Linked DNA regions of Nothobranchius furzeri. The protein of the gene in region 1 purifies or fractionates together with the protein of each later gene. This does not show direct contact. Links are inferred from orthologs where the notes say so. Each region holds a gene or a part of one and is shown on either strand. Other genes may lie near its edges. The genes, in order: ptpn21, trip6 and NEDD4-like E3 ubiquitin-protein ligase WWP1.

Region 1 (3,652 bases):
AGTTTTTGAATTCAACAGGTGCTGCACACCAAATCTGCTGTTGCCCGGGCTTGATTGTCATTCGCTGAGAACTCCCTTGTCCTATTTCAAAATGTCAGAGACAAGGATAAAAAAAAAAAAAAAAGAAAAGAAACAACAAAATAAGGAGATAAAATGCAATTTGACAATAGTCATAGTCAAATAATGTCACAGTTTTGTTGGTCTGGAATTACTGTTAAATCACACAGTCAATTTCCCAGCCCAAGGGTAGCAACTAATAACCTCCATACTTGGCTATTATTTTGGCTCCCTTTCTACTACCATGTACTGATAAACACTCAATTTCTCGAACCGGGGGGTTTCACTAAAACCCTTCACTTTCATCCACTAAAGTGACACAGTTTATAGTTCAAATTATATTAATCGCCAGATACCAGAAATTAAATATTTGGGTCGTGTCTAACCTTTTGATGCACAAATTAGGAAATCTTCAACCATGATTATTTAACAATTATTCTCATTCATCTTTGGGTGTGAATGAAACAAATTTAAACAAATATTGTTTGTAACATTTAATAATTTGCTAATAATTTATTACATGTTCACCTCAGTGGACAGCGTGTATTCTGAACATGAAATATGTTGGCTGGACTTGCTGAAGTCCACATAGAGCAGGGGTGTCAAACTCAAACTCACAATGGGCCGAAATGAAACTCTGGGACGGTGTCGAGGGCCAAACTTAATATTTTTTGAAAAAGTGACGGCAAATTTGCACGTTTTCTTTATCACCATGTATGCAATTTTGAACCTTTAAATTTGGAAACAAACGTATTTCTGCATTAACACTGAATGTGGAATAACCAAATTACACACGAGCAAGTCAGTTACAAATAAAACACATCAGTGGTATTCAATACTTGTGGGATAATCAGCATTTTTAAAATCTTTTCAGGATTTATGTTTTCTTGTTTATTCATTTTTCTTATTTTTATTCTCCTTTTTTTCTCCTGTAATAAGTGTCATCGCTGCTGTGACGTCTACCTTTCCCCACTGAGGAACAATAAAGGGATTTTCTATTCTATTCATCTATCTGCAGCCTTTCCACTTCCTTTTTACTGTAGGTTAAATCTTTTCTTACGTGCCAACAACAAAATAAAAATATCATTTTATCTTAAATGAAAATGCAACATCTCACCTGTTAACTTTCATGTTTTGGAGCAGAAAAAGAACATAAAACCAACATATTTAAAGCTCAGTTTGCTCCACTGGTTTACTGTGATGCTCACCTGTTCCAGCCAGATACCTGCATCATGGGGCTGATCTGAGCTGAGGAGGAGACTCCTGTTGTTTTGTTCATCTTCATCATAATGACAACATTAGATGACAACAGGTGCTCACATAGGTTTGTGCTGATGAACATGTCTGAGCAGCTTGACCACGTTGTTGTGTGTCGGGGAGGAAACACGACAGCAGCCACAGAGTCGTGCTGGTTTGAGCGTGTCGCTGCTCGCTGGAGTTATATCAGCTCTGTCTGGACGTTAGTTTGAAAACTTTCTCTTTCAGTCGTGAACACATTACTGAGCAGCTAGAATCTCCGTTTCTGGGCTTCAACGTCAGAAAACAGCTGAGTGAACTCGGCGCTGAGTGAGAGGAGTGTAGTTTGTCTGAGACAGCCGAGCTGCAGACACCCAACTACCTCTGACTGCCTCGGCGCTGAAAAAACACAAAGGAGGGTGCGCGTCTGCTCCACGCTGGCGCCGCAAAGCATCATGGGAGTTGTAGTCTTTGCGGTAAAATCGGCCAGCAGGCCAGTTTTAATATATTTTTGATATTTATCTCGCGGGCCACATAAAAATGCTCCGCGGGCCGCATATGGCCCGCGGGCCTTGACTCTGACATATGTGACATAGAGGGTCTCAAATGCAATAAAGTACTCAACAGCTGTGCTTAATAGCAAAAACAAATAAGTAAATTACAATTTTGAGAACCTGTTCAAATTATATTTTTCATCTTTATTTTCTAGTTATAACCTTCAGGCCGCAATTGACCTTGGTGGCTTAGACTCATGGCACAGCTGCGGTTGTTTTGGTTTTTTAGGCAGGCCTTGCCTCCTCTCTGTTTCACATTTTCAACACTTTTTTTCTCTCCACCGCTCTGTGCTTTCTTGTAAGCATAATACATTTGTGACACGTCAGCGGTTATCAAAAACACGTTTTCCATCAATTCGCTGATAATTTTCAAACCATTTCCACATTTCCAGGATCTACATTTCCATCAATGTGCAATATTTACTCAGAAGGTATTTCGTGAGTTCTTATTCCCCCATACATAGATACCACACGTACAAAGCAATCCATACACTCTCATTTATCCAAACAACAATTAAAGCAGGCAACATCTAAGACAAACAAACAACAATACAGATAACTAGAGTAGCGCTTCTTATACAAGGCAAAACACCCAAAGACCCAAGCCAAATTCTCCCATAGCAGGGTAGCATTTATACTTCCAGCCAAAACGCCCAAAAACCAATTGAACCTCTTAGTTATCACACCGGTCCATTTATTTATCATTTATAACTTTATCACACCAGGGTAGCGTTTATATTTTGGCAAAAACGCCCAAAAAACCAAGCCAATAGAGCATTTCTGGAATCTGTTTATCTTTCTCTCTGACCAAAACAGCATTCCAGGAATCTGTCAGCGTTTATATTTTCCGGCTAAAACGCCCAAAAACCAATTTAACCCCTGGTCACCTTGGATTCTCTCTCGGTACCACAAGACAAAGCGACAAAAAACAACTTGTCTCACCAAATCTCTCCACTCAGGGCTTGAGTTCGTGGATACGCATTCCTCCTAACGACGTCAAGACCTCACCGACCCCCCAGCAAACTCAGCGCTGGAGATTAGGTAGTCGACAGTCGTCCGGCGTCGGCTCTTGGCGCCGCAAGGTGATGGGACCCCCGCTTTCGAAGGACCAAATAATGTCATGGATTTTATCAATATGTTCATCAATAACCCATTTCCTATAGTGAAGAGAGAAGGAGACAATGAGCAGACAAGTCAAACAGTTATAACTGTGGCAAAATGCACCGAACATCCGGTCACAAAGTTTATTTATAGAGAGGGGGAGTGAGAGAGAGATTGTGTGTGTGTGTGTGTGTGTGTGTGTGTGTGTGTGTGTGTGTGTGTGTGTGTGTGTGTGTGTGTGTGTGTGTGTGTGTGTGTGTGTGTGTGTGTGTGTGTGTGTGTGTGTGTGTGTGTGTGTGTGTGTGTGGCATAGAGCAATACATTTACATTCAGTTGACTGAGTCAATGATCAAGAATTAATAAACATAAATTTTCCATAACAACCAGATTTCTGTTTTGGATTGTTTATGAACGGGGGAATGACGGGTGTGTTCTTCACCAGTGTCGGCTGCTGGAGGAGCACTTGGAAAGAGGCGAGCTGTTCAAGGAGTTTGAGAGCATCCCGAAGCGCCGTCTGGGATCGGAGTGCAACGTAGCTGGAAATCCAGAAAATGTCGAGAAGAACCGCTTCCTGGACGTCCTGCCCTATGACAACACCAGAGTGGAGCTGGTTCCCACTAAAGAGAACAACACGGGCTACATCAATGCCTCTCACATCAAAGTAAGACACACACACACACACACACACGCACGCACGCGCGCAC
Region 2 (4,105 bases), on another chromosome or scaffold:
CTATGATATGTATGTGTGTGCATGTGGACACCTGGCTCGTGACAACACGCTACGTGGGATAAAAGGTCAACACCACAGCCTAACAGCAGCGAAATCAAAGGGATGAATTCCACCTGAGAGACGTTCCGGACACTCTTAATGAAAGGAGTCGTAGAAATTAAAAACATAAAGTTGTTGGTACCTTTAGGAAAAAGGTTTGTGTAGATGGTCAGTGGTCCAGGACATGGGAATCTTAAATGTTTAGTTGGAACTGCTGGATCTTTCTTGTTTTCCTTGAAAACGTGTCAGAATGGTGCCGGTGTTTCACTGATATTGCTGGAGGGCCCATGACCTGAGACAAGCGTTCTAGTACTGGGCAGATCCAGAACACCTAAAGCCGAGCGTGCCCTGTATAACTGTCACCGTCCACATGCAAACGACACAAAACAGCCTAGCACCAAAGATTGTCGAATGAGTGGAAAATCAACCCCAAACAGACCAAAAATGGCAGAGGACACACAGCTTTAAAGGTCTCCAGATTTCATTAAACCCCACAGATTAAAGAGCAAGTCAACCCCTACCAGAGTCTAACTCCACTCCCACTTCATGTTTGAAAATGCAACAAATGCTGTTGCCTGGCAGACCGAGAGGGTGGAGCTGCTAACAAATACACACACACTCAGGCTCACGACAGCATTGTGACATCATAATGTACCAGTTTACATCATAGCATACCTCTTAGCCAATAGCAGTGGCAGATTTAAATTAAAATGCAGTGCAGAGTTTTTACCTGACAACGGCACAACACTGCCAGTTTTAGGCAGAATATTTAAATTTTAACTAAGATGCACTGAAGTGCCAAATTATTGACGACACGTGTCTGCAGCACGATTAGACACTCGTTTATTTAGTTTATCAGCAAAAAAAAGTTTATTTGGGGGTGACTTGCTCTTTAAAGACACCTGGTGACCCAAACCCCCTTCATGCCTCACAGTAGCTACAGCATTCTTTTCTTTGCTCCAATGTTTGTGTCTGCGAACACAAAAATCAACAATAAACTGCACCTTAATTATGGGAATGGGGCCGGCACGTCTGACCTGTTGGCCAATCAATTTTGCCACAGCAGAGGCGACGACCCTTCCCCTGTTGATCAGGTAAGATCAGCTAATTTGAGGATGCTAATAGAGATTACAGAGAGAAGGAGACAAACCTAAAGGACATTTTTTCAGCAGTAAAATGTGTTGGGTTGTGGACAGAAGACTTGTTGTGGACTATTTTACTGGAGGACATTGATTTGACCCGTGTGGGTGTAAAGACTCTGTCCTGTCGATTTAAAAAATCTTGATGAACAACATTTGTTTTCCCCCCCCAATACCAAAAACAGAAGTTATAATTACTAAATTACAAATGTTGAAAATGACTTAATGAAACGTGTTTTCCAGAACAAGAATAAATGGCAGACACAAACTCCAGAGACAGACTGCAGACACCCAAACGAGCCATGTGAAATCTGACACAAGTGCAGTCCCTGTGCAGAAATGAATAACCCACTCACACCGATTGGACGTGGGTGGTGTGACCCTCCTCGTGGTTAAGAGGATTATAATGTCAGATCAGATGTCGATGTAGCTTCATATAAATACATTTCAGACAGGAGATTTGAACCCTTAACATGATGTTTTTTTTACTGGTTTTAACGTTCAAATTAAAGATATGTGATCCATGTAAAACCAGCAGATTCAGGACTTGTTAAACTGGAGTTCACACTGAGGAAAGGGTGATCACCACCTGCGCAGTGGTCCCGATTAAAGCGTTTGTCTGAATCCGGATGAGCACACAGTCAAATCTAAGGCAGACTGGCCCAGGGAAATTAATCTCCATGGTTTCATCCCCCTCAAGGTTTGGAGCCAAATGTTTCCTATGGAGCATGCATAACAAATTCTACTTATTGTTCAAACTGTCTGCATAGAGTAAATCATCAGTACCAAGTCCTGAATTGGATGAAAGACAATAAATATAAAGAACTTCCTACTTTTAAATTCTAAATAAAGCATATCAAATGTTTGTGCAACGCAATAACCCAATAAACACAATAAGTCGTCATTTCCTGTTGCAAATCTCATATTTACATTCATTATTTAATTTTACAATTAGGCAACATAAAACACTTATTTTCGAAATAAAAGATAATGATAGTTAAATGTTTGTTTGTGTGCCAGTTACTACTGATAAAGATATAAAAACATAAATTACATAACTAAAAATAAAAAACACCACTGTGCTTCTGGTCAGTTTTTTCAAAATAAAAATCAGCATTCCTACCTTCACAGTGCTTTTACTGTCGCCTGTCCTTAGGTCTCATCTACACACAAATAACAAAGGGGGGAAAAAAAGGCTGAAACAGAAAAGCAGATAAACTCACATCCGTCTGAGATACTGTCCCGTTTTTAGCTCCGCAGCAGCAACGATATGTCAAACCAGAGAATCTGTCTGGTCTAAATCTGTCTGTGCGTCACGCATGTGCAAATCACCGCACTTAAGTGATCAAACACTCCATAATGAAATAAAACTACCCGTAATTAACTTTAATAGCAGCCTTGTTTACATGTTTGCTAGCATGTCATGAATCCGAGAGGTGCTAATCACGGCGGGGAGCTTATTTCGGCACAACACCGGGCTAACTTTCATCACGACCAAAAAGGAAACGATGCGGCAAACCGCCACCTACCGCCCGAACCGAGCCGCACAAACACGACTTACGAGTCCATTTAAACGTTAACGACTTAGTGAAAGTTGTCCTGAAGACTTGGCTGTCGTTGAAGCGTCGTTAACCTACTTTTGTCACGGATCTGAAGGCCTTTAGCGAAGACACCAATTCCTCGCTGCATTCCCAGCGCGTGACGTAGCTCTGGATGCGCGCGCGCGCCTGTGTACGAGCACGAGAGGTGGTGTTGGGAGGAGGCAAGGGGTTGGAATAAAGGAAAGTTTACCTTTTTTCACAAAAATCTCTCTCTCTCTCTCTCTCTCTCTCTCTCTCTCTCTCTCTCTCTCTCTCTCTCTCTCTCTCTCTCTCTCACACACACACACACACACGCACGCACGCACACACACACACACACACACACGCACGCACGCACGCACGCACGCACGCACACACACACACACACACACACACACACACACACACATCTATCTATCTATCTATCTATCTATCTATCTATCTATCTATCTATCTATCTATCTATGTGTGTGTGTATGTATATATATATATATATATATATATATATATATATATATATATATATATATATATATATAAGTAATAAAATACATCTAAATGTCCCACTATAATTGGAAAAATATGTAAATATTTTAGCCGTATTGAGCAATTATTTTAAAAGTTTAGAAATATATAAATGTACTAAATATCTAGTCTCGTCTTCTTCTGCCTATTCGGATCCGGGCAGCGAGGGCAGCATCCCAACCAGGGAGTTCCAGGCTGACCTCTCCCCAGCCACCTCCACCTGCTCCTCCAGTAGGACCCCAAGGCATTCCTGGGCCAGTTTGGAGATGTACTTTCTCCAACGCGTACTTTCTCCAACATGTCCTGGGTCGACCAGGGGACCTCCTGCCGGCAGGACATGCCTGAAACACCTTCCTGGGCAGGCGTCTAGCAGGCATCCTAACAAGATGCCCAAACCACCTCAACTGACTCCTCTCGATATGGAGGAGCAGCGGCTCTACTCCTAGTCTCTCCTGAATGTCTGATCAAATAAACTAAATATCTCTGCAGTAATTGGCATGATCCTTTGCCTCACACAAACAAGAGACTTCACATGTCAAATATACTGTTTATTACCAACTAAAGCTGTGGCAAATGAGTAAAAACAGTTAGTGTTGTAGAAAAATGAAAGAATTGTAATGCTTTAGCCTTATTTGGCTCATTTTACCTAATGCTTTACATAAAACTCATCTGCAATTACTCCCTGAGGTCTCCGGCTGTGATAACCCCTGTGACTTTTGCCTGATCAGACAAAACCCCACAGAGCTTCTTGTGACGTGTCAGGAGTGTTGGGCCTCTGCGGCTGTAAGGGAATGTATTTAGTCCTCTTTGGTTTTCACACAT
Region 3 (3,652 bases), on another chromosome or scaffold:
GCTTGGCTGTGGGACTTTTATCTCCTCATGTGCATGGCGTCTCTAGAGCAGCAGATGGGAAACAAGATCTCCTGCAACTTAAAATGAACCAAAGCAGCCTCCCAGTTTTTCTTTAAATTGAATTTAACATCAGTTTATCATCATGAAACAAAAAAATAAAGATATAAGAATAAAAGAGACAGAAGGTTGTGCTGCAGCCGCCGTCACTCACCCCACCTCCTCCCCAAGACCGGATCACAACACTCAGTCTGAGTTTTAAGCATTTCGGGGAGAAATAACGTGTTTGGAGGTGTGTCCTCCGATCTTCTCCCTTGTGTGAGCAGACAGGGTGCCACTCTCTCTCTCTCTCATTTGCTGTTTGAGCGAGTGGAGCGGAACAACCCACTCAATTAACATAATTCACTGGCCCAAGTCCGACTGAACCGGTTGGGCTGACTCGGTTCCGGTCCAGTCTCAGGTTAGAACTCCAGCGCTCAGCCCTGCAGTACCACATAACGGCGGACCAATATTTCCTACTCGGTAAATGTGGAAGGACACGTCCCACTCCGACAGAATTGGATGCTACGCTGGTACCGCCGTTAAGAAAACAAAACTACATTCCACTACAGGGAGTGCAGAATTATTAGGCAAGTTGTATTTCTGAGGAATAATTTTATTATTGAACAACAACCATGTTCTCAATGAACCCAAACAACTCATTAATATCAAGCTGAATGTTTTTGGAAGTAGTTTTTAGTTTGTTTTTAGTTTTAGCTATTTTAGGGGGATATCCATGTGCAGGTGACTATTACTGTGCATAATTATTAGGCAACTTAACAAAAAACAAATATATACCCATTTCAATTATTTATTTTTACCAGTGAAACAAATATAACATCTCCACATTCCCAAATATACATTTCTGACATTCAAAAACAATACAAAAACAAATCAGCGACCAATATTGCCACCTTTCTTTGCAAGGACACTCAAAAGGCTGCCATCCATGGATTCTGTCAGTGTTTTGATCTGTTCACCATCAACATTACGTGCAGCAGCAACCACAGCCTCCCAGACACTGTTCAGAGAGGTGTACTGTTTTCCCTTCTTGTAAATCTCACATTTGATGATGGACCACAGGTTCTCAATGGGGTTCAGATCAGGTGAACAAGGAGGCCATGTCATTAGTTTTTCTTCTTTTATACCCTTTCTTGCCAGCCACGCTGTGGAGTACTTGGACGCGTGTGATGGAGCGTTGCCCTGCATGAAAATCATGTTTTTCTTGAAGGATGCAGACTTCTTCCTGTACCACTGCTTGAAGAAGGTGCCTTCCAGAAACTGGCAGTAGGACTGGGAGTTGAGCTTGACTCCATCCTCAACCCGAAAGGCCCAACAAGCACATCTTTGATGATACCAGCCCAAACCAGTACTCCACCTCCACCTTGCTGGCATCAGAGTCGGACTGGAGCTCTCTGCCCTTTACCAATCCAGCCACGGGCCCATCCATCTGGCCCATCAAGACTCACTCTCATTTCATCAGTCCATAAAACCTTAGAAAATCAGTCTTGAGATATTTCTTGGCCCAGTCTTGACGTTTCAGCTTGTGTGTCTTATTCAGTGGTGGTCGTCGTTCAGCCGTTCTTACCTTGGCCATGTCTCTGAGTATTGCACACCTTGTGCTTTTGGGCACTCCAGTGATGTTGCAGCTCTGAAATATGGCCAAACTGGTGGCAAGTGGCATCTTGGCAGCTGCACGCTTGACTTTTCTCAGTTCATGGGCAGTTATTTTGCACCTTGGTTTGTCCACACGCTTCTTGCGACCCTGTTGACTATTTTGAATGAAACGCTTGATTGTTCGATGATCACGCTTCAGAAGCTTTGCAATTTTAAGACTGCTGCATCCCTCTGCAAGATATCTCACTATTTTTGACCTTTCTGAGCATGTCAAGTCCTTCTTTTGACCCATTTTGCCAAAGGAAAGGAAGTTGCCTAATAATTATGCACACCTGTTATAGGGTGTTGATGTCATTAGACCACACCCCTTCTCATTACAGAGATGCACATCACCTAATATGCTTAATTGGTAGTAGGCTTTCGAGCCTATACAGCTTGGAGTAAGACAACATGCATGAAGAGGATGATGTGGACAAAATACTCTTTTGCCTAATAATTCTGCACTCCCTGTATTGTTGGCGTTTTCACAGAACAACCAGTCTGCTCAGCAGCAGAAGTGGAATGCAGCCATGGCTGCGGGGTAAATACGTGTGAACACAAAGGTTTGGTTTGTCTCCTGGCTTTACCTGTTGGCGGCCCTTGAAGAGGAAGAGGATGAATCCCCGTTTTCGTGAAGAGCCTCACCGTTCTGCTGGACTTCTGGAACACATTTAAGAAGATGATGTCAGAAAGATTACACAACATAGAACATTTATAGCTCCTCATTAAGAAACACACATCTCCCTGAGTTTATGTAACTGCATGCATTTGTGTTGTTTCACCGTGTTTTACAGCTTTTTCCTGTTTTTAATTGAATAAAATGCAGCTGCAGGCTGAACCTGACACCACGCCATCAGCCACTTAGATGGAAAAATCTTCAACTCACTGGTGCCATTTGCTGTGTTGCCATTAGTAAGTGGTTCCAGTCCAGGCTGGTCAGTGACAGTCAGACCATCGAGGTACACGGTCAGATCCCCCACAGGCACAAGAACCCCTTTCTGCTCCACATTCAGATTCAGCATCTCTTTCACATTCTCCACTAGGATGAAAAACCAGACTGAGTCAAAGGAGAGGAGTGAGAGGAGGATTACGATTCTCTTACCATAATAATAATAACCTGAACATTTATAATAGATGTAAACTTTGTGACCCTTTTCAACACATCAAAAGCTCTCTGACTCAAGTCCCACCCACTGAGCAGCAAAACCTCCCCAGACCGAGGTCCAAGACGAGTTTGTCCATCCATCCATTTTAGGCCGCTTATCCGGGGTCGGGTCACATGGGCAGCAGTCTAAGCCGAGACACCCAGACTTCCCTCTCCCCAGCCACTTGGGCCAGCTCCTCCGGGGAATCCTAAGGCGTTACCTGGCCAGTCGAGAGATCCTCCAGTGTGTCCTGGGTCTACCTTTAGTTCTCCCGGTTGGACGTGTTTGTAAAACTTCACCAGGGAGGCGTCCAGGAGGCATCCTAATCAGACACCCGAGCCACCTCAACTGGATCCTCTTGATGTGGAGGAGCAGTGGATCTACACCAAGCCCCTCCCAGATGACCGAGCTTTTCACCCTATCTCTAAGGGAGAGCCGAGCCACCCTGCGGAGAAAACTCATTGCAGACCCTTGTATCCGTAATCTCGTTCGTTCAGTCCTTTGTGACCATAGGTGAGGGCGGGAACGTATCCACTGGTAAATCCAGAGCTTCGTCTTCCGGCTCAGCTCTTTCTTCACCATGACAGACCGGTACAACGCCCGCATCATCAATCCGCCTGTCGATCTCCCGCTCCAGCTTTCCCTCACTCGTGAACAAAATCCCGAGATACTTAAACTCCTCCACTTGATGCAGGACCTTGTCCCTGACCTGAAGAAAGCATTTTGACTCAGGACCACGGTCTCAGATTTAGAGGAGCTGACTCTCACCCCAGCTGCTTCACACTCAGCTGCAAACCGCTCCAGCGAAAGCCTCA

The links.
Region 2: the proteins of ptpn21 (region 1) and trip6 purify together in Homo sapiens (affinity purification with mass spectrometry; 3 studies listed by BioGRID and IntAct, with this or other methods). This does not show direct contact. The link is inferred for Nothobranchius furzeri from reciprocal best matches to the Homo sapiens genes PTPN21 and TRIP6.
Region 3: the proteins of ptpn21 (region 1) and NEDD4-like E3 ubiquitin-protein ligase WWP1 purify together in Homo sapiens (affinity purification with mass spectrometry; 3 studies listed by BioGRID). This does not show direct contact. The link is inferred for Nothobranchius furzeri from reciprocal best matches to the Homo sapiens genes PTPN21 and WWP1.

What each region holds. Positions count from the first base shown.
Region 1 is NC_091758.1:26,610,382-26,614,033, reverse strand, and holds part of ptpn21 (tyrosine-protein phosphatase non-receptor type 21), read left to right. Parts: intron 1-3,390; coding exon 3,391-3,609; intron 3,610-3,652.
Region 2 is NC_091742.1:54,147,183-54,151,287, forward strand, and holds the start of trip6 (thyroid receptor-interacting protein 6), read right to left. Parts: upstream 2,937-4,105; 5' UTR 2,816-2,936; intron 2,814-2,815; exon of another isoform or gene 2,708-2,813; intron 2,342-2,707; 5' UTR 2,302-2,341; intron 1-2,301. UniProt on the Homo sapiens protein: Relays signals from the cell surface to the nucleus to weaken adherens junction and promote actin cytoskeleton reorganization and cell invasiveness. Involved in lysophosphatidic acid-induced cell adhesion and migration.
Region 3 is NC_091747.1:36,679,731-36,683,382, forward strand, and holds part of NEDD4-like E3 ubiquitin-protein ligase WWP1, read right to left. Parts: intron 2,732-3,652; coding exon 2,579-2,731; intron 2,353-2,578; coding exon 2,280-2,352; intron 1-2,279. UniProt on the Homo sapiens protein: E3 ubiquitin-protein ligase which accepts ubiquitin from an E2 ubiquitin-conjugating enzyme in the form of a thioester and then directly transfers the ubiquitin to targeted substrates.